Linked DNA regions of Sus scrofa. The protein of the gene in region 2 purifies or fractionates together with the protein of the main gene of each other region. This does not show direct contact. Links are inferred from orthologs where the notes say so. Each region holds a gene or a part of one and is shown on either strand. Other genes may lie near its edges.

Evidence for each region. The genes of interacting proteins can lie anywhere in the genome.
Region 1: the proteins of POLR2F (region 2) and POLR3C purify together in Homo sapiens (affinity purification with mass spectrometry; 3 studies listed by BioGRID and IntAct, with this or other methods). This does not show direct contact. The link is inferred for Sus scrofa from reciprocal best matches to the Homo sapiens genes POLR2F and POLR3C.
Region 3: the proteins of POLR2F (region 2) and POLR3G purify together in Homo sapiens (affinity purification with mass spectrometry; 3 studies listed by BioGRID and IntAct, with this or other methods). This does not show direct contact. The link is inferred for Sus scrofa from reciprocal best matches to the Homo sapiens genes POLR2F and POLR3G.

Annotation. Positions count from the first base shown.
Region 1 is NC_010446.5:99,490,178-99,496,151, reverse strand, and holds the start of POLR3C (DNA-directed RNA polymerase III subunit RPC3), read left to right. Parts: upstream 1-2,014; 5' UTR 2,015-2,350; coding exon of another isoform or gene 2,351-2,452; 5' UTR 2,453-2,936; exon of another isoform or gene 2,937-2,980; intron 2,981-3,944; exon of another isoform or gene 3,945-3,949; 5' UTR 3,950-3,969; coding exon 3,970-4,116; intron 4,117-4,643; coding exon 4,644-4,899; intron 4,900-5,009; coding exon 5,010-5,195; intron 5,196-5,974. Other genes in the region: E3 ubiquitin-protein ligase RNF115, read right to left, coding at 2,351-2,452. UniProt on the Homo sapiens protein: DNA-dependent RNA polymerase catalyzes the transcription of DNA into RNA using the four ribonucleoside triphosphates as substrates.
Region 2 is NC_010447.5:9,913,767-9,919,572, reverse strand, and holds the start of POLR2F (DNA-directed RNA polymerases I, II, and III subunit RPABC2), read left to right. Parts: upstream 1-1,851; 5' UTR 1,852-1,963; coding exon 1,964-1,983; intron 1,984-3,667; coding exon 3,668-3,737; intron 3,738-5,806. Other genes in the region: C5H22orf23 (UPF0193 protein EVG1), read right to left, coding at 1-3, 1,227-1,530. UniProt on the Homo sapiens protein: DNA-dependent RNA polymerase catalyzes the transcription of DNA into RNA using the four ribonucleoside triphosphates as substrates.
Region 3 is NC_010444.4:97,646,202-97,652,215, reverse strand, and holds the start of POLR3G (DNA-directed RNA polymerase III subunit RPC7), read right to left. Parts: upstream 3,961-6,014; 5' UTR 3,822-3,960; intron 1-3,821. Other genes in the region: MBLAC2 (metallo-beta-lactamase domain-containing protein 2), read left to right, coding at 4,525-4,978. UniProt on the Homo sapiens protein: DNA-dependent RNA polymerase catalyzes the transcription of DNA into RNA using the four ribonucleoside triphosphates as substrates.

The sequences.
Region 1 (5,974 bases), on a different chromosome or scaffold from region 2:
ACAACCAACATTTTTAAGATGACATTTTCAAGATGGCAAGGCAATAAATAAATAAATAAATAAATAAATATGCATAGCAACAATGATTTACTAAAGGTTTCTCCTTTCTTCCTCAACTCACTCTTCCTTTTCTAACTCGGTCTATGCTATTGTCCTCAATCTGAATTCTACCTATCCTTCAAAACTCAATTTAGGAGTTCCCTAGTGGCCCAGCAGTTAAGGATTTGGCATTGTCACTGCTGTGGCACAGGTTAGATCCCTGGTCAGGGAATTTCCACACACCTTGGACGCAGAAAAAAAAAAAAAAAAACAAAAAAAAACTCAAATTTAAATCACATTTTGTTTGTCACTTCTTCCCAACCTCATATCACCAACACCTCCCTCTGAATTCTAAAGCACATATTATCCATCCTCATTCACCTTGGTTATTACTTTTAACAATACTGTGAGGTGCTTAAGAGCAGAAACCATATATTCCTCAGTATTACCTCCAGGACCTTCAGTTGAGAACCTTGTATGTCTGCAGGGAAGTATTCCGTTACACTTAAAAGTGTTATGCCTCAATTTACAAATCAGGCATGACAGATAATAAATCAGACTAGAAAGATCAATGACTTCTCCTCCAGGCATCAAACTAAGGCTTAGAAAAACACCTAAAAAGTCTTTCAAATGAGCCCTTTTCAAGAGCACTTTGAAGTGAGGACTTGAGATGGTAGGGAGAAAAGATACAGTAAGTGGAGGAAAGTTAGACTGTTTTCTCACTCTCAAAGGCAAACGGTGAACAGCAACTTAAAGATCAGAATAGCCAAGGCCTCACTGTTCATTAGGGCATCACATTCAACATGTCACTCATCACACATGCACTGGCTGAATTCCAGACTCCCTCTCTGTGGTAAGGAAGAGTTCTGGAGCCTCCAATGTCCACTGGAAAAACAAACAAACAAACAAACAAGCCACGGCACCTGCTCTTCTCAGCACTGAAGTATAGCAAAAAGCACACAGACACAGACACACAGCCAAATCATCCAAGCAAAACTAAAAGAGCGTGTAGATGAAACTACGACCATGAAGTTAGGGGTGGGGCAAATAGAGAAGAAAGAAAATACAGCAAAAGCCTGAAAAAGCACAACTCAAGTGAAAAGGCTAAAATACTGTTTAGGCACTTTTCACTGGACTCCACTGGTGTTTCTAAGAACTAAGACACAGAGACACACTTTAATAGGCTTTCTCACAGATTGTATCTGAGACACTATAAACACTGAGATAAGTAGTTACACAGACACCCTCTTAAGGCTGAACAAAGATACTTCTAAGGAAAAGAACAACCATAACTAGTTCTAAAGATGGTTGGCCAAAGGTAGGATTAACATTCACCCTGGTGGATCTCCCTGCAGTAGTAACTCAACCTAAAACAGCCTCTGGGCTTGGGGTGCAATAGCTGGCAAGCATGCTGCAGAAGCACTTTTTTTCCACAGCCAACAGCACTACCTCTCTAGGGGCTAACACAGTCTGGCAGAAACTGACGAAAACCAATTTTACGTCAGAGGATGCAGTCCCCAACATTCTGTCCTAGATCTTCTCACTAAGTGAAGAGAGAGAATGGGGGAGGGGAAGGAGGGGCGGGTAAGGCAGGTGGTGCTAAAGATACTGGCAGCATGACAACCAAAATAAGAGAGTTGAAAGAATATGTTCTGCCTTCTTCCTAAAGCCATTTCCTTCGACAGTGATTGGGATCGCAGTCCGCAAGTCATTAGTACACCGCTGTTTTCACTTTCACAAGAACGCTGGAAACCCCTGAAGAGTAAAATCCCCCTCTCTGCCCAGTTACCTTCCAACCCTCCCTCCCCCCCCCGCCCCGCTTTCTTCCCTCCTTCCCTAGAGACAATGAATAAAGACAATCCTCAGCAATCCGCTATATTGCTTCAATGAGGATAGTGGAAGGGGAGATCTGATGAAAAGTGGAAAAGGAAATAAAGATGAGAAGCAACAGCGGAAGGGGGGGGGAGGTCATTGTGGAAAGAGACAAGGTGAAGAAGAATGTAAGAAAACGGAGAGGAGGGGGTCAGCAGAAAACTTGCTAAGGAAAACCAGGAAAAAAAAAATAATAGAGGGCAGGTAAAAAGGGGAAAGAGTGAGGGACAGGTGGAGCATCCGAATGGAAAAAAGGCTGGGCGGGAGTTACTGAGCCACACAGCCCGGACGCCCGGGGTTTAGGAGACAGTGGGCAGCAGGTACCTGGGATACCCATGTCAGGGGAGTCGGGGCTGTGCGGGAAGCCTAAGCGCCGTTCTGGGACATCCGGACGAGGAACCCACGCGGACGCTGGCGTGCAGAGGACACACACTCTTACCGGTAGTTTGGGGCTGACCTCGCCCTTGCAAAAGTGGCAGAAAAACCGGTGCGCGGCAACAGCGGCGCCTGCGCCGGCCCCGGCCGCCGAGGCCTCCGCCATTTTTCTCTCCCGGCGCCGCCGTCCGAGAGGGCAGCCGGCCCGTCGCTCCCCAGGCCGCTACCTCCCGGCTACAAGAGACGCCTCTGCCTCCGCCGCCGCCGCTTCTTCAGCGCAGCTGGCCGCTCCAGAGTCCGCGCGGGTCACGTGAGCCCGCCCGGCCCACAAGGCGTCGGCGAGGACGGCGACCCCACGGCCCGCCTCCCGGCACCAAAGAGCTACAGGAAGGAGAGTCCGTCCGGCGCTGCCCTCCCGCCGGCTCCTCTAACACCCCTCGCCGGTCCTCCAACCTCCCAGCGAGAAGGAAGCAAGAGCGTCCCCGGAAACCACCGAAACGCTGGGGTAGAGCGGCACACGTTTTTCCTCTTTGCTGACCCTCCTCGTTGGCCGGGCTCCTGCGCAAAAGGGCCTTGGGGTGCCTTCTGCTCGAGCCGCTGGCTGGAGCCGCACGAGGTCGGCGGCGGCTTTAGATTGCATTGACCCAGAGGTTAGTGGAAAATGCGGTCTGAATGAGGCCGTTTCTCTAGACCCAGGGACCCAGTCCGGAACCGGAACCTGGGGGAAGGAAGTGTAGAATCAGGAGCCAGGTTCCTTGGAAATCCTTATCAAGGATGGCAGATGGTCTGGGGATACTTCCCCAAAGACCTGTGAGTGGGAATACTGAGACTGAAAGACACAGTCTTGGCTTCTGAGGGATTGGGAGAAATAAATGAACAGACCAGTGTGTGGTAGCACTTATGACAACAAGTGATTTTATAGTCAACTATGTTTGTTTCTTTTTGTGTCTACTTTGTCAAGGAGTAGAAATTTCAGAATACTGCCCTGCCAACAACATGCTTCATCTGTTGTTTGAAACACTCTGTTGAGACGCTCCTAATTTATTTTGCAAAGTTGTCATTTCTTACGGATTGGGAATGACACTTCCTGTTCACTCCCAATAGGCTGTGAATAGTGTCCTTAATTCCTCCAAATAAAATCATCTACACACGATATTTAAAGAAAATTGGACTCGTACATCCCATAAGGATAAGTTTGATATATTGTCTTGCAGTCTTTTTTTTCTTATACCTATAAGAAAAAAGGGGGTTTTTTTTTCACAATAATTTAAGTTTCTTCTACATTTTGCTTTGTAACCTGCTTCTTTCACTTAATGAACAATTTTGTACACTAATACATGTTACACTTCATTGTAAACATAGACGTAGTATGCCATTGTATGAGTCTACCATAATTTATTGAAATAATCCCGTATTGTTAGATATTATATTGTTTCTGGAATGTCAGTATTCTAAAGTGACATCATTATTATTCGCTTGAAACAAAATAGCCAAAGCAAAAGTATTAGGTCAAAGATATGCAAGATTTTAAGGCTTTTGACGTATCTACTGTCAAGTTGCCCTCCAAAAAGTACATGAATTTACACTTAGCAGCTCTACTCCAACATAAAAGAAAAACTTCCCATCGTGCTATTTTTTCTTTTCTTTTCTTTTCTTTTCTCAGGTCTGAGACTTCTCAGTACAATGACTCAAGCAGAAATTAAACTGTGTTCTTTATTGCTGCAAGAGCATTTTGGAGAGATTGTAGAAAAAATTGGAGTCCACCTAATCAGAACTGGCAGCCAGCCACTAAGAGTTATTGCCCATGACACAAGAACATCGCTGGATCAGGTATGTTTGGATCACACTAATTTGCTTTTATTTCATTAGTTTCCTTTACCTACCCTTGAATATTACTACTCCCCACCCCACAAAATACAAAAGAGAGCTACACTGAGATCAGAACAGTGTCATTGGGAGGGAGAGAGGATGAGACATAGTGCCTAAGGTTCTGCTTCTCAAAGCGATCTGGCTCACTGTGGCTTCTTAGGCAAACCTGTGCTTTTCATTTGCCATACTTCATTCATGCATGATGAGTCTATTAATTTCAGCACTACCTTTAAGGAATGGCAGTAACAGAGAGCAAGTAAGTTGTACTTTGTAAGATAAAGATCAGAGGAAATATGAGCTAGGAATCCTCCTGATTTCTTCATAAGATGAACAATGCGATTCTTAACAGCTATTCCAATGGAGAGAGAGAAGATGCACGGAGGTTCCAGCCATCTCCTGAAGTTTAGTAAATTGTTGGACAGAAATTGCCAACAATAATGAACTGCATTTTCCAATTTTTTTTTCTCTTTCTTTTGTGTCCTCTCTAGGTTAAAAAAGCCCTTTGTGTCCTCATCCAGCATAACCTGGTGATATATCAAGTGCACAAACGTGGTGTGGTGGAGTATGAAGCCCAGTGCAGCCGGGTGTTGCGAATGCTTAGGTATCCCCGGTACATCTATACTGCCAAAACGCTGTACAGTGACACTGGAGAGCTGATTGTTGAGGAGCTGCTGTTGAACGGCAAAATGACAATGTCAGCTGTTGTGAAGAAAGTAGCAGATCGGCTCACAGAGACTATGGAGGGTCAGTACTGTACCCACAGCTGTTAGCAAAAGCATAGATTGGCTGGCTGCAGGAGTGGCCCCTTAGCTGTCTGAGGCCATCTCACCTGCCTCTTTCCTCCTGTTGTACAGATGGCAAGACCATGGACTATGCTGAGGTATCGAACACATTTGTGCGACTAGCAGACACACACTTCGTGCAGCGTTGCCCCTTGGTGCCTGCCACTGAGAATTCAGACCCTGGGCCATTGCCACCTGCCCCTAATCTTGTCATCAATGAAAAGGACATGTACCTGGTTCCTAAACTGAGCTTGATAGGTAAGGAATTTTGACCCCTAGAACTGTAACTAATGGTATATTCTTCCTCAGTGATTGTTGAATGAATGAATGAATCAGTAAGCAGTTACCGAGGATTTACTCTATGCCAGTTACTGTGGTATAAAGTCATGCAAAAAAACCCATTATGGTCCCTGCCCTCACGGGATATAAGTCTTGTAGAGGAGGCTTCCATTAATCAAATAGCCTCACAGATGAATGACTGACAAACTGTGATAGGTATTATGAAGGAAAAGTATGGGGCGTTATGAAAATATATAATGGGTGCGTTGTGGTGCAGTGGAAACAAATCCAGCTAGGAACCATGAGGTTGCAGATTCAATCCCTGGCCTTGCTCGGTGGATTAAGGATCTGGCATTGCCATGAGCTGTGGTGTAGGTCACAGACACAGCCTGGATCCCGAGTTGCTACAGCTCCGATTAGACCTCTAGCCTGGGAACCTTCATATGCCGCAGGTACGGCCCTATAAAGACAAAAAATAAAAAAAATTAAAATTAAAAAATAAATAAGTGAAAATATATAATGGGGGACCAGATTTATCTGGGGGTTTTGGACACATGCTTTTCTGAGAAAATGGCATTTGAACTAAGATTTGAAGCAGAAGTAGGGGGAGTTCCCGTCGTGGCGCAGTGGTTAACGAATCCGACTAGGAACCATGAGGTTGCGGGTTCGGTCCCTGCCCTATGCTCAGTGGGTTAACGATCCGGCGTTGCCGTGAGCTGTGGTGTAGGTTGCAGACGCGGCTCGGATCCCGCGTTGCT
Region 2 (5,806 bases):
TGGCTGCAAGACAAAGCACTTCAGTGAGGCCTCCTGGGCTGCGAGCAAATGTCCTCGTTTTGCCTCTGGACCCCATTCTGTACCTGTGTACTCCCGCTCTTCCTTTCCTGCTTCATTGTTTTCTATAGCACCCATCACCATCTAAGTTCTATATATTTTACTTATTTATCATTGTAACATTCCTACTGAAATATTAGCTCCATGGATGCAAGTCTTTTTTCTTTTTTCTGTTTTGCCTTTTTAGGGCCACACCTGCTGCAAATGGAAGTTCTCAGGCTAGAGGTTGAATCGGAGTTGTAGCCATTGGTCTACACCACAGCCACAGGAATGCCAGATCCGACCATGTCTGCGACCTACACCACAGCTCATGGCAATGCTGGCTCCTTAACCCACTGAGTGAGGCCAGGGATGGAATCTGCGTCCTTATGGATGCTAGTCAGATTTGTTTCCACGAGCCACGAAGGGAACTCCACAAGATTTTTTTTTCTTTTTCTTTTTTTTTTTTTTTTTTTACTGCTGTATCATCAGCAACTGGAACAATGTCTAAAAGCTCACAGTGGGCTTAAAATCTTTTTTTGTTGTTGTTGAGTGAATGAACAAGCAGTCATTAAGCATGTGCCAGGGGCTGGAGTTACAATTGCGAGCCAAAACAGGCACCGTGTCCTGATGGGAGTTCATGAACTAGAAGGGCAGATGGATGTTAATTCAACATGAATTCATAGGGACACACAAGGTATCTGACTACAGGTTACGCTAAGCCCAGTGAAGGAAAAGGCACTGGGAGTGTGTGGGCACCTAACGGTTGGTTGCACTGTGTTGGTGGTGGGTGGGGAGGAAATAAGGCTTCTCTGGAGAAATTGAAAGTGTGATATAGTATGTGTCACTGGGTCACCATGCTGTACAGTAGGAAAAAAAAAATTGTATTGGGGAAATAACAATTACAAAAAAAAAGAATAACCAAAAAAAAAAAAGTGTGATATAAGGGATGCATAGCAGTTAACTACTCTAAAATTCGTGAGTTCTTTGACTTTTGGCCACTTTCGAGTTGCAGGACCCCCAAACTTTCCTGAACCCCAGGCTTCTTATCTGAAAAATGAAAACAGCAATTGCAAGCCATAAGTCATGCAGGTGAGAACTGAGTTACAGAGGTTAACAGTGACTACCGCTCTCCTTTTGTCCTTTCATGCACTGACACCACCGCCCCGCCCCGCCCGACCACCACTGACCTCTGAGCAGCTCGCAGGTTCTTGGGGTGTAAGCGGCCGGCTTGGGGCAGCGCCAGAAGCCAGTTCCTTTGGTCACAGTCTCCACCCTCTCCTGGGAAGCCATGGGAGGGCTCTGAGGAGGGAAAAACGCGACGACACACCCCCTGTCTCCCATATACAACCTCTGCTTCCGCATCCCCAACACCACCCAAAGTTTGGGTCTGGCGGGGGCGGGGCCCGCAAGAGAATCGTGACGCCGCCCATCAATATCGCGACAGTGCCCAATCCTCCCACCCGGAACAGATCCACTGGCAGATACACACATGCGAACAGAGACCTCATCCAGACCCGGCGCCTGTGGCAGGGAAGCCACCTCTGGAGGAAAGGGGCGTTAGGGTAACCTTGCCCGTTGTGTGATAGACCCAAACGGAAACCTCACTCTTAGGTAAGACTCCGGCTGGGTGCCCACTGAGAGTGGCCGCTAGGCTCTGAAGGAGCACCCGCGCCGGAGCCCTGCAGGAATGCTTTTGAGATCTCCGCTGCTCAAGCTCTGGTTATACACTCTGGCTACCATGGTAACAAGCTCTAGCTTCTCGGCGCGTGCGCACTATCGCCCTGCCGATCCTCCCGGAAGCAATTGCCTCTAGGTCACAGCGCAGGCGCAGAGTGCGCGTGGCGCAGCTCGTGGCGGAGGCGCGCAGTTTGCGGGTCTCCGCGCGACTCTTAGCGCAGAACCAGGGAGCTGCGGCGCGGGCGTCATGTCTGACAACGAGGACAAGTGAGTGCGGGAGCAAAGTGAGCTTTGCCGAGCCTGGTCAAAGGAGGTTAAGGAGCCGTTAACCGAGGGGCAATGCGTGAGGGGACTGGGGGTATTGAGGGGCCCGCGGAGCTGAAGAAGGGAAAGGCGGGGGGACCAGGAGCTTAGACCTGGTCACAGGCTGGGCCAAGAAAAGCCCCAGTTTGAGGATCCGGAGAGAATCAGTGAACGTGGTATCTTTCCACAAACTTTCACGGAGTCGGGCTCTGTCTCTTGATTTGGAATTACTGAGGTGAATTAGGCATAGCTCCTGCTCTTCAGGTAGGGGGCCCTTTCTAGAAAAGGGGACAGGCCCACAGACGGATACTGCAGGGGTCGTGTGAATTGCACGAAGTATGTAAAAGAAACCCAGCGGAGGGTCTGGGGAGACTTGAGGTGGTAAAAGTCTGGGAGGCTTGCGGTAATCCAGGAAAAAAAAAGGAGTGACTTGTACTAGGTAATCGTAGTAGAGGTAGTGAGAAGTGGTTTTGATTTCTGGGTTTATTTTGAAGCTAGAACCGGAAAGATTCCCTGAATGTGTGGAGGAGAGACAAAAATAGAGGCGTCTTTAGCATAAGAGTATTAGTCAAAGCTAAGAGAGGGGGCGATCATGGGGAGGCGGCAGGGGGGTGGGTGGTCAGTAGAGAAGAGGAGATGAATGAGCGTCAGAGCATCCTAACTGTGGAGTGCCTGGAGGGAAGAGAAGCTGAGAAAGAGCCACTGTGAGGCGGGGGAACACCAAGACCGCGAGGTGTCCTTTTCTTTCTTTCTTTCTTGGTCGCCCTTGTGGCATCTGGAGTTCCTGGGCCTGGGATCAGGTCCGAGCCACAGTTGTGACCTATGGCACAGCTGCAGCAGTGCTGGATCCTTAACCCACTGTGCCGGGCCAGGGCTCGAACCTGTGTCCCAGTGCTCCAGAGATGCTGCCAGTCCTGTTGCGCCGCAGCGGGAACTCCAGTGGAGAGTGTTTTGAGTGAGAGGGAGTGATTCGGTGTGCCACCTGACAGATCAGGCTAAATGAGAACAAGAATAGACCAGTGGATTTAGCAACGTGCAAATCATTGATGAACTTGAAAGGAGTGGTTTTGGTGGAGCCAAGGAGCTGAAAGTCTTTGGGAGTGAGATGATGACAGAATGTGAGGAGAAGAATTGGAAATGGCGAAGATGGACGACTCTTTCATGAATTTTTCTCCCACAGGGGGGCATGGAAATAGGGCTCTGGAGGGAATAGAAAAGGAAGCTTTGGCGTTCCTGTCATGGCTCAGTGGTTAACGAATCTGACTAGGAACCATGAGGTTGCAGGTTTGATCCCTGGCCTTGCTCAGTGGGTTAAGGATCCGGCGTTGCCATGAGCTGTGGTGTAGGTCACAGATGCGGCTTGGCTCTGGCATTGCTGTGGCTCTGGTGTAGGCTGGTGGCTACAGCTCTGATTAAACTCCTAGCCTGGGAACTTCCACGTGCCGCGGGTGTGGCCCTAGAAAAGACAAAACCAAAAGAAAAGAAAAGGAAGCTTTGTTTTAGTAAGTTGAGGACATCAAATGACTTAATAAATTATTATTATAAAATGATTTACTCAGTAAGTGCATATTTATTGAGCACCTCCTGCTTATCAGATCTATGCCCTCTTTGATTCTTGTAAGTGATGCTCTGCTTTCTTCTTGTACAGTTTTGATGGCGATGACTTTGACGATGTGGAGGAGGACGAAGGGCTAGATGACTTGGAAAATGCCGAGGAGGTAAGTGTTTAGCCTTGGGCTCTCCTCTCGGCAGCCCAAGTTGCCAGATAGCCCGGCCAGTGATGACTGAATGCATCTGCTTCTTGTCTGTAGTGAGGCCAGTTAGAGTGAGGAGAGGTCTAGTCCTGGGTGGTGGAGGTGGCCCGCAGGGTGGGCCTGAAGGATTTTGTCCACTTGGACCACAGCCTGTAGCTTCTGGGGTGGTTAGTTTACTGACAGGTGAAATATCCCCTTCATTCATTGAGCAAACATGTGTTGAATGTTTATTGTGTACCAGGAGCGCTGCAGGGTGGGGCTACATAAAGAGCAAGGGGGAGAGTGACCTGGAATAAAGCTGGAGAGGTAAGGGCCAAGGTCAGGCAGGATGTTGTAGCCTGCAGGTGGTGGGAAGCCACGGACAAGTTTTGAGCTGGGGAGTGGCATGGTCCAGTTTACACTTTAAAGGAACACTTTGGGGAGTTCCCGTGGTGGCTCAGTGGTTGCAGGTTCGATCCCTGGCCTTGCTCAGTGGGTTAAGGAGCTGGCGTTGCTGTGAGCTGTGATAGTAGGTTGCAGATGCAGCTCGGATCCTGCCTTGCTGTGGCTCTGGCGTAGGCCGGCTGCTACAGCTCTGATTAGACCCCTAGCCTGGGAACCTCCATGTGTCGCAGGAACGGCCCTAGAAAAGGCAAAAAGGCAAAAAAAAAAAAAAAAAAAAGGAATACTTTGGGGAGGAGCAACAGTAGGAGAGGCCAATTCAGGAGCTCTCACGGACCTCCAGGTGAGACCTGTAGCTGGCACTTGGGTGCTGATACTGCTGGAGATGAGAAAACGGATGCAAGAGATATTTTGGTAGATTGGATGTGGGCTGAGAAAGTGGGAGATGCCGAGGAAGACGAGTTTCTGGTGAATGAGTTACTAGCTTCATGGCTAAAGTGGGGCTTTGTGTCCTGTGTGACCGATGGATGGGGATGCTTGTGTGTTAGTTTAGGCTGGAAGCCGAAGCCTCTCCTTCAGGATTTCCTCTGCCTCGCCCTCTGGGATAGCAGTACACTGTGTCAGAAACCTCCTTCTCCACCCTTCTGCTCCCTCATTCCTGTCCCGTGGATTCTGCTTCCTATGTGTGGTTCAGCCCTGTTTCCCTTTCTCCATTCCTCCTGCCTCAGCCTGGTTTAGATCCTCCGTGCTCCTCACCCGCATTCCTACAGAAATTGTGTTACCAGTTTTCCTGCTTCAGTCTGCCCTTTGCGTTGCTGCCGCCAGAGCTGTCCTTTTTACCTCCTTACATGATTGATTGCTGTTGGTCTTCTAAAGGGTCTGTCTGCTTCGGCCCTTACCCTCTACAGTATATTCTCAACAGAGCATCCACACTGATTCCTTTAAATTTTTTTTTTTTTTTTTTTTTTTTGCTTTATTGGGCTGCTTCTGTGACATATGGACATTCCCAGGCTAGGGGTCAAATCAGAGCTATAGCTCCTGGCCTACACTGCAGTCACAGTAACACAGGATCCTTAACCCCCTGAGCAAGGCCAGGGATCGAACCTGTGTCCTCATGGAAGCTAGTCAGATTCATTAACCACTGAGCCATGATAGGAACTCCTGATCCTTTTAAATCCTTTTTTTTTGTCCTTTTAGGGCTGCACCCACGGCATATGGAGGTTCCCAGCTAGGGGTCTAATCAGAGATGTAGCCTCCAGCCTATGCTAGAGCAATGCCAGATCTGAGCCGTGTCTTTAACCTATGCCCCAGCTCACAGCAACGCCGGATCCATAACCCACTGAGTGATGCCAGGGATCGAACCCATAGCCTCATGGTTCCTAGTCAGATTCGATTCTGCTAGGCCACGATGGGAACTCCTCCTTTTAAATCTTAAGTCACTTTGTCTCTCCTCTGCTCAGAGCCTGCGTCCAGGGGCTTCCTATCTCACTCAGAATAAATGGCAAAAAGATGTACAAGGTTCTCCTTGATCTGGGTACCTGCTCCCTCTGTGACCTTATCTCTTCTTGTCCCTATCGTGCCAGGGAGACTGCAGCTCAGGACCTTTGAGCATGCTGTTCCCTCTTCTAGGAACACTCTCCCTTAGATATTCA
Region 3 (6,014 bases), on a different chromosome or scaffold from region 2:
CTCCTGACTCACTTGCCTGTAATCATGTCTTAACTACCATTTGCTCCAATAGAGAAACCTCTTCTTCTCTATCTGACTGCATCCATTTTCACATTAAGATCCAGCTTAAGTCCCTCAACATTCACAACTGTCATTTCATTCCACCTTGCTCCTGGAAAGATCCTCCTGTTAAATTAAATGGATTTTTAAAAATTGAGGTGATACATATTGTTCCACTCTTCAATTCTGGAAGAAATACAGACAATGCCCCTTTTGGGAAATGGGCCTTTTCCAAAGAGAAGGAGTTTCAATTCCATTTTTGTTTATTTGTTTGTTTCTTCCACTGTATTAACAGCAGAGATTTCATATACCTACTACCTAGAAGAGTGCTCTCTATACAGCAACAGCTCTATAATCAATGTTAAGCTTTCCTTATTTGTTTACTTATTGTGATTTTATGAGCAAATCTCCCTACAGAAATACAATTCAGTCTGCTCACTTATTAAGGTTTTTGGTTTTTAACTTCTAGAATAAGTTTGGGACCCAGCTGTACACTAGAATCATCAGGAGAGTTAAAATAAACCAACCAACCAACAAACAAAAAGCTCTCAAGCATCACGCTGGAACAACGCATTCACCTCAGAATCTCTGAAGATAGGATTTAGGCAATAGGACCTTTTGTTTTTTCTTTTTTTTTTTTTTTTTTTTTTTTTTTTGTCTTTTTAGGGCCACATCCGCAGCATATGGAGGTTCTCAGGCTAGGGGTCAAATCAGAGCTACAGCTGCCCACCTATGCCAGATCCATAGCATCTTGAGATCGGAGCTGTGACTGAGACCTACACCACAGTTCACTGGCAACAGCAGATCCTTTACCCACTGATTGAGACCAGGGATCGAACCTGCATCCTCATGGATACCAGTGGGGTTCATTAATGCTGAGCCACGACAGGAACTCCCTAGCACTTTTTAAGGCATCCCAGGAGATTACGTGTAACCTAAGTTAAGAACCACTGCTCCAGACTAAATTTCCTGTTATATAGAAGAGGAAAGTGAGACTATGAAGTCCGAAGTCCATTGAGTGCCTAAAGACAAAGAATTAATTCCTAACAAAGATAAGACTGCATTAAAGTGTCAGGATACCCTTCCATTGTCCTTAGCATTTATATTATGCTGCCTGCAGCACACTACCAGGTTAGCTGAAGACCTTTTAAATCGCAGAGATGTCTTTAATCTTTACAATGAAGTGGAATAGTAATGACCAAATGGATTGGATTTAAAAATATAAAATCAGAGGCACCACCCTTCCATTCTGGGATGCTTTCTGAAAATTTCTGTTCAGAAGTGTTCTAAAATAGTTTGACAAGTGCAGTTCAAGCATCCAAGAGCTGAAATGCAAAAGCATGGAAACAATCTTGTGGCAGAGGTTGCGCTCATGCCCGAAATTCCTCCTAGCTCTAACCTTGTGAGTTATAATTGTGGCTTAAATGTATTGTCTTCCACTTCTCACAGTCTCTTGCACAAATTTGCTAAGTGAATAAACATATAAGCAGGTATGGATTCTGAGAGAGGCACTGAAAGTCTGGTCACAGTATCCTTCCTGATGAATGACACTTAAATTGCCCTATTCAGAAGCTGGTCCTGTTGACCTTGTCCTCGACTCCCTTGATATCCTCATTTAATGGTAGAAGACTATCAGTTCTGTGTCCCCTTTCACATATCTGCCTTTCTTCACCATCCCTGACCCGGACCAACCTTCCCATAGCCAGACTTCCTCTTTCAAACCACTCTCCAGACATCCCTCTAGAACATAAACCTTGATGTTTCACTCTCCTTCTTAAGCAACAGAGCTTTGGAGTCTGACTTTGTGCATCTGGCACCTTCTCCTTTCCTGACCACTCCCAAATCTGCCATATCAGCTCTTGCTTGTAGTGTTCTTTCTGCTGGGATGCCACATCCACCTGAGCAAGCCCCATCATCATTTAAGATACCATGCAAATGCCACTTCTCTGAGACCATTTCCTCCACCCTAAGTGGAGCTAGGCCTCTCTCTTTTCTGTCTCCCAAATACTACCCTGTTTTATTACCATTTAAAAAGCATGTTGTAATCATCAGTTCTTGTCTGTCTCCCCATAAGTTCTTCAGTTATCCTTCTTCAAGTATTAATTAAGCACTCTTAGGTCAGGCCATCTTCTATGAATTGGGAATATAATAGTGAATAAAACAAAACCCCTGTTTTCATGGTGCTTAGAGTCTACTACAGGAAAGGGAAAAAATATTTCATAGAAAATGTCAGGTAGTGATCAGTGATGTGGAAAAAAAAAGCAGGAAACATGGGTGCTATTACAGAAAGAGTGGTTGAAGAGGTCCTGTATTCTGTAATATTTGAGCACAAAACTGACAGAAGGAAAAGGCCATGCTGAGAATCAGGAAAGGATATACAAGGGAAAGTGTAATACAAGCAGAAGGATCTGTAAGTGTGAAGGCCTCTTTGAAGATTTATTCACCTCTTCCTGCCCCATCACCAACTAGAGCCTGGCAAAAGTCCAATAAAAATTGGATGAATTATTGCTGAGCTCATGGCTTAGTAAGAATATCACTCCAATTCACCTCCCTTTACCTAGAGGAAAAATAAAACTACAGAGAGCTCTCTACTTTCGTGCTGAGAACATCCTAACAACAGTGGTCTTTTAAGGCCAGCTCAAATGCCTCTACTCATCAGTCCCTTCCATGCATATTCTCATAGCACCTGGTTTTTACTTCCTCTGGGGTACATATCTCATTTGCTTTTTACTGCAAACATTTTTGTGAAGATATTGCTTCCCTCAAATTCCTGAGAACCCAGATCATGACTTTAAAAAAAAAAAAAAAACAACACAATTCTGTTTTTCACACATCATTTAGCTGAGGGACTTGTACATAAGGATAGCCCTGAACAGAGTGTCTGGATAAATTCTAACTAGGTTAGGTAAACATTCAGAAAAGTTGCATCCCCCTCAAAGACTTAAGGTTTATAGGGAAGGAGAGAACACCTCTCCCTCTATGAAGGCTTATTAGTAGCTGAGACAATAAGGGTTTTCATAATTATCTTTTATAATGCTGTCTCATGGGTCTCTTTATAATTTTTCCTGGCTGGATAGGGAGGTTAGTCGAGTTCTCAAGGGAATTGTTTAAGTCTGAATGGATATACCAACAGCGAGGAGCTGAGGGATGGGGACAGGGACCTTATGTTAATACTAGGGATGATTTTTTCAGCTGATGGGGCCACACCCAATCATTATCCACTTTTCCTGCCCTCACAAGGTGCAGCTGCCTCCACCCTTCCTTAGTTGAGCCTTTCTACCAACTTTCTTTGCTCTCTTCCAACAGCGGGCAAAGTAACCAAAACAAGGAAGGGGAGGGGAAGGAATATATAATTTAATTTTTCAGAAGAGAAGTAAAACCTTATCAACAACACCTCTCCTCACAGTACAGGGTAAAGTGCTAACGGTAAAAAACAAAAAACAAAAAACGTACTGAATAGTGCGTCCTTAGCAGCAAGTCTGCGGCAATGACTCGTGTTTGAAGCAATCATACCATCGGAATTGAAAATCAACCATCAGTAAAAGCATAAATTCCCTTCGAACTCACTGAAAACAGTCCTAATAAGTGGAGACAAGATAAAATCTGGAACGACGATTTCAAAAGATTGTGAAGGGATTAAGAGATCTCGCTACGTCCCTCAATCCAGAGGCTCTTTAATGAATCTCCACTCCTGCCTTCCCCGGTCTTTTCCACGTGCCCCTTTAACTCCCCCCCCTACTCATTCCATCTCCTCCCAACCCCTCCATTGCCTCCTCTGTTACCTGCTTACTAAGTCTCGAAGCTTGAGAAAACTGTGCGGCCGAAGTGCCGGCCGGCAAGGAAGGGGTGCGGACAGAAGGTTCCGACGCCGAGTGCTGGTTCCACCTCTGGAAAAACGCGCTCCGCCCTCCACGAGGCCTCAGAATCGCGTTCCGATCGCACCAGTTAGCTCCGCCCACTCGCTAGGTAGGCCCCGCCCTCTGGGGAGAGAGCTTTTTATCCCTTGGCGGGAACCGTACCGGTCCAACCTCCTTGGCCTGACTCTTTCTGCGCCGGCTGGAAGTGCGCATCACGGCGCGCGGTGTGTGGGCGGCCCTGGGGCCTTCCAAACCTGGCCCCTGCCCTCTACAGTCAAACACCTGGCGGTAGGAAGAGTGTCGCTTTCTGAATCCCTTGTCTACTGAATTGACGCTACTTTCTGCTGTGGCCTCTGATGCTGCGATTGTTTCTGCACCGGGGTGCAAGGAGATAGGTCTCTGTTCTTTGCGGACCGGGAGGGAGGGTGCGGAAGGCAGCGTCTCCGAGAGTCCTTCCTCCTCCCAGTTCTCCTCCCACTCCTTTTGCATCCCCCGCCCCCTTCTTGCTCTGCGCCTTCTTCCCGACTGCAGGCAGACCAGTCTATCCCGCCGCAGCGCCGGAGTCTGGGCAGCCTGCAGGAGGCACACACGCCCACACCCACTCCGCCTGGCCGCATCCCTACTCAGCATGTCGGCGCTCGAGTGGTACGCCCACAAGTCTCTGGGCGACGGTATCTTCTGGATTCAGGAACGCTTCTATGAGTCAGGCAACCGCGCCAACATCTGGCTAGTGCGAGGCTCGGAGCAAGACGTTGTGATCGACACAGGCCTGGGCCTGCGCAGCCTCCCGGAGTACCTGTACTCTTCTGGCCTTTTGCAGGACCGCGAGGCCAAAGAGGATGCGGCATGCCGGCCACTGCTGGCTGTGGCCACTCACGTGCATTTCGACCACTCCGGCGGCCTCTACCAGTTCGACCGGGTGGCAGTGCACCACGCCGAGGCCGAGGCGCTGGCTCGCGGGGACAACTTTGAAACCGTGACCTGGCTGTCCGACAGTGAGGTGGTCCGGGCTCCGAGCCCCGGCTGGAGGGCCAGGCAGTTTCGAGTGCAGGCGGTGCAGCCCACCCTCATCCTGCAGGATGGTAATGGCCCTTCACGAGCGCGCGCTCTCTCATTAAGGGAAGGGATTGGGGAGAAACTGTCCGAGGAGTGCTTGTTGCAGACGTGCGTGGCTGTAAGGGGCCTTATTTTGTCCCATCGCAGAAACACTACTTCTGTTTCACCCTTCCTGATTCAAAACCCCAGTCGACATCAGGTCGATGGTAGGCCGTCTTAGTCCTCCTTACCGGAGACCAGCTCTGGCACCGGGTAGCAATGCAGAGTACTCAAATGAGAGCCGGCCCCACCCCCTAGTCAGTTTCCTGTGTAACGTACAGCAATAACACCAACAGAGTCTTATATCTAGGATTTCCATTCTTTCCCCAAACATCTGTCCGACATTTTCAGGCACTTTTCTAGCGAAAAGTCTTCCTTAAAAGGAATGACGCCTCATGGAGAGTGCATGTCATGCTCTATGCTTTTGAGAACTGCTGACTTCATCTGCCCGGTTCACACCTGTAGGCTTAGAAAGCCATTAGAGAGCAGTCAGTGGTTTCAAACTGTTCATTCATCCTTATCTTCCAGATAGGTTTCTGTTCTTGATGTTGCCTCACAAGAGAAGAAGCTTGATAGTGAACATAAAAAGTAGAGTATGTCTGAATCTTAGAGTATGGCAGCTCTCTGTTCTGGTTGAAAGCAAGGCCTGAGAAAGATTAATGAATGAGGAGGCTGTTTCCGATGATGGTGAAGTATGTGGACTGATGCATAAATCACCTTGGGCTTCTTGGCTCTGAAAAAACAAGATGGGGTTCAGAAAGAATAAAATAGGATAGGGTTCCTGCCCTTCCAGCTCTACACAGGCACTTAAATAATTGAACCAGTCATAGCAGTGCTGTTTGTATATTTTCTTTTTAGGATGCTTTTGATGATTTCATTTAATCCTGACAACTCATTGGAAGCGAGGTTGCTGACCCCTAATTAAATGGCTTGCCTAGAATTTACAGAACAAGATAGTAACAAGAGCTAGGATTTGAACCCAGGTGCAATAAGATCAAAGCATGCAGCTCTCACGTTAATCCT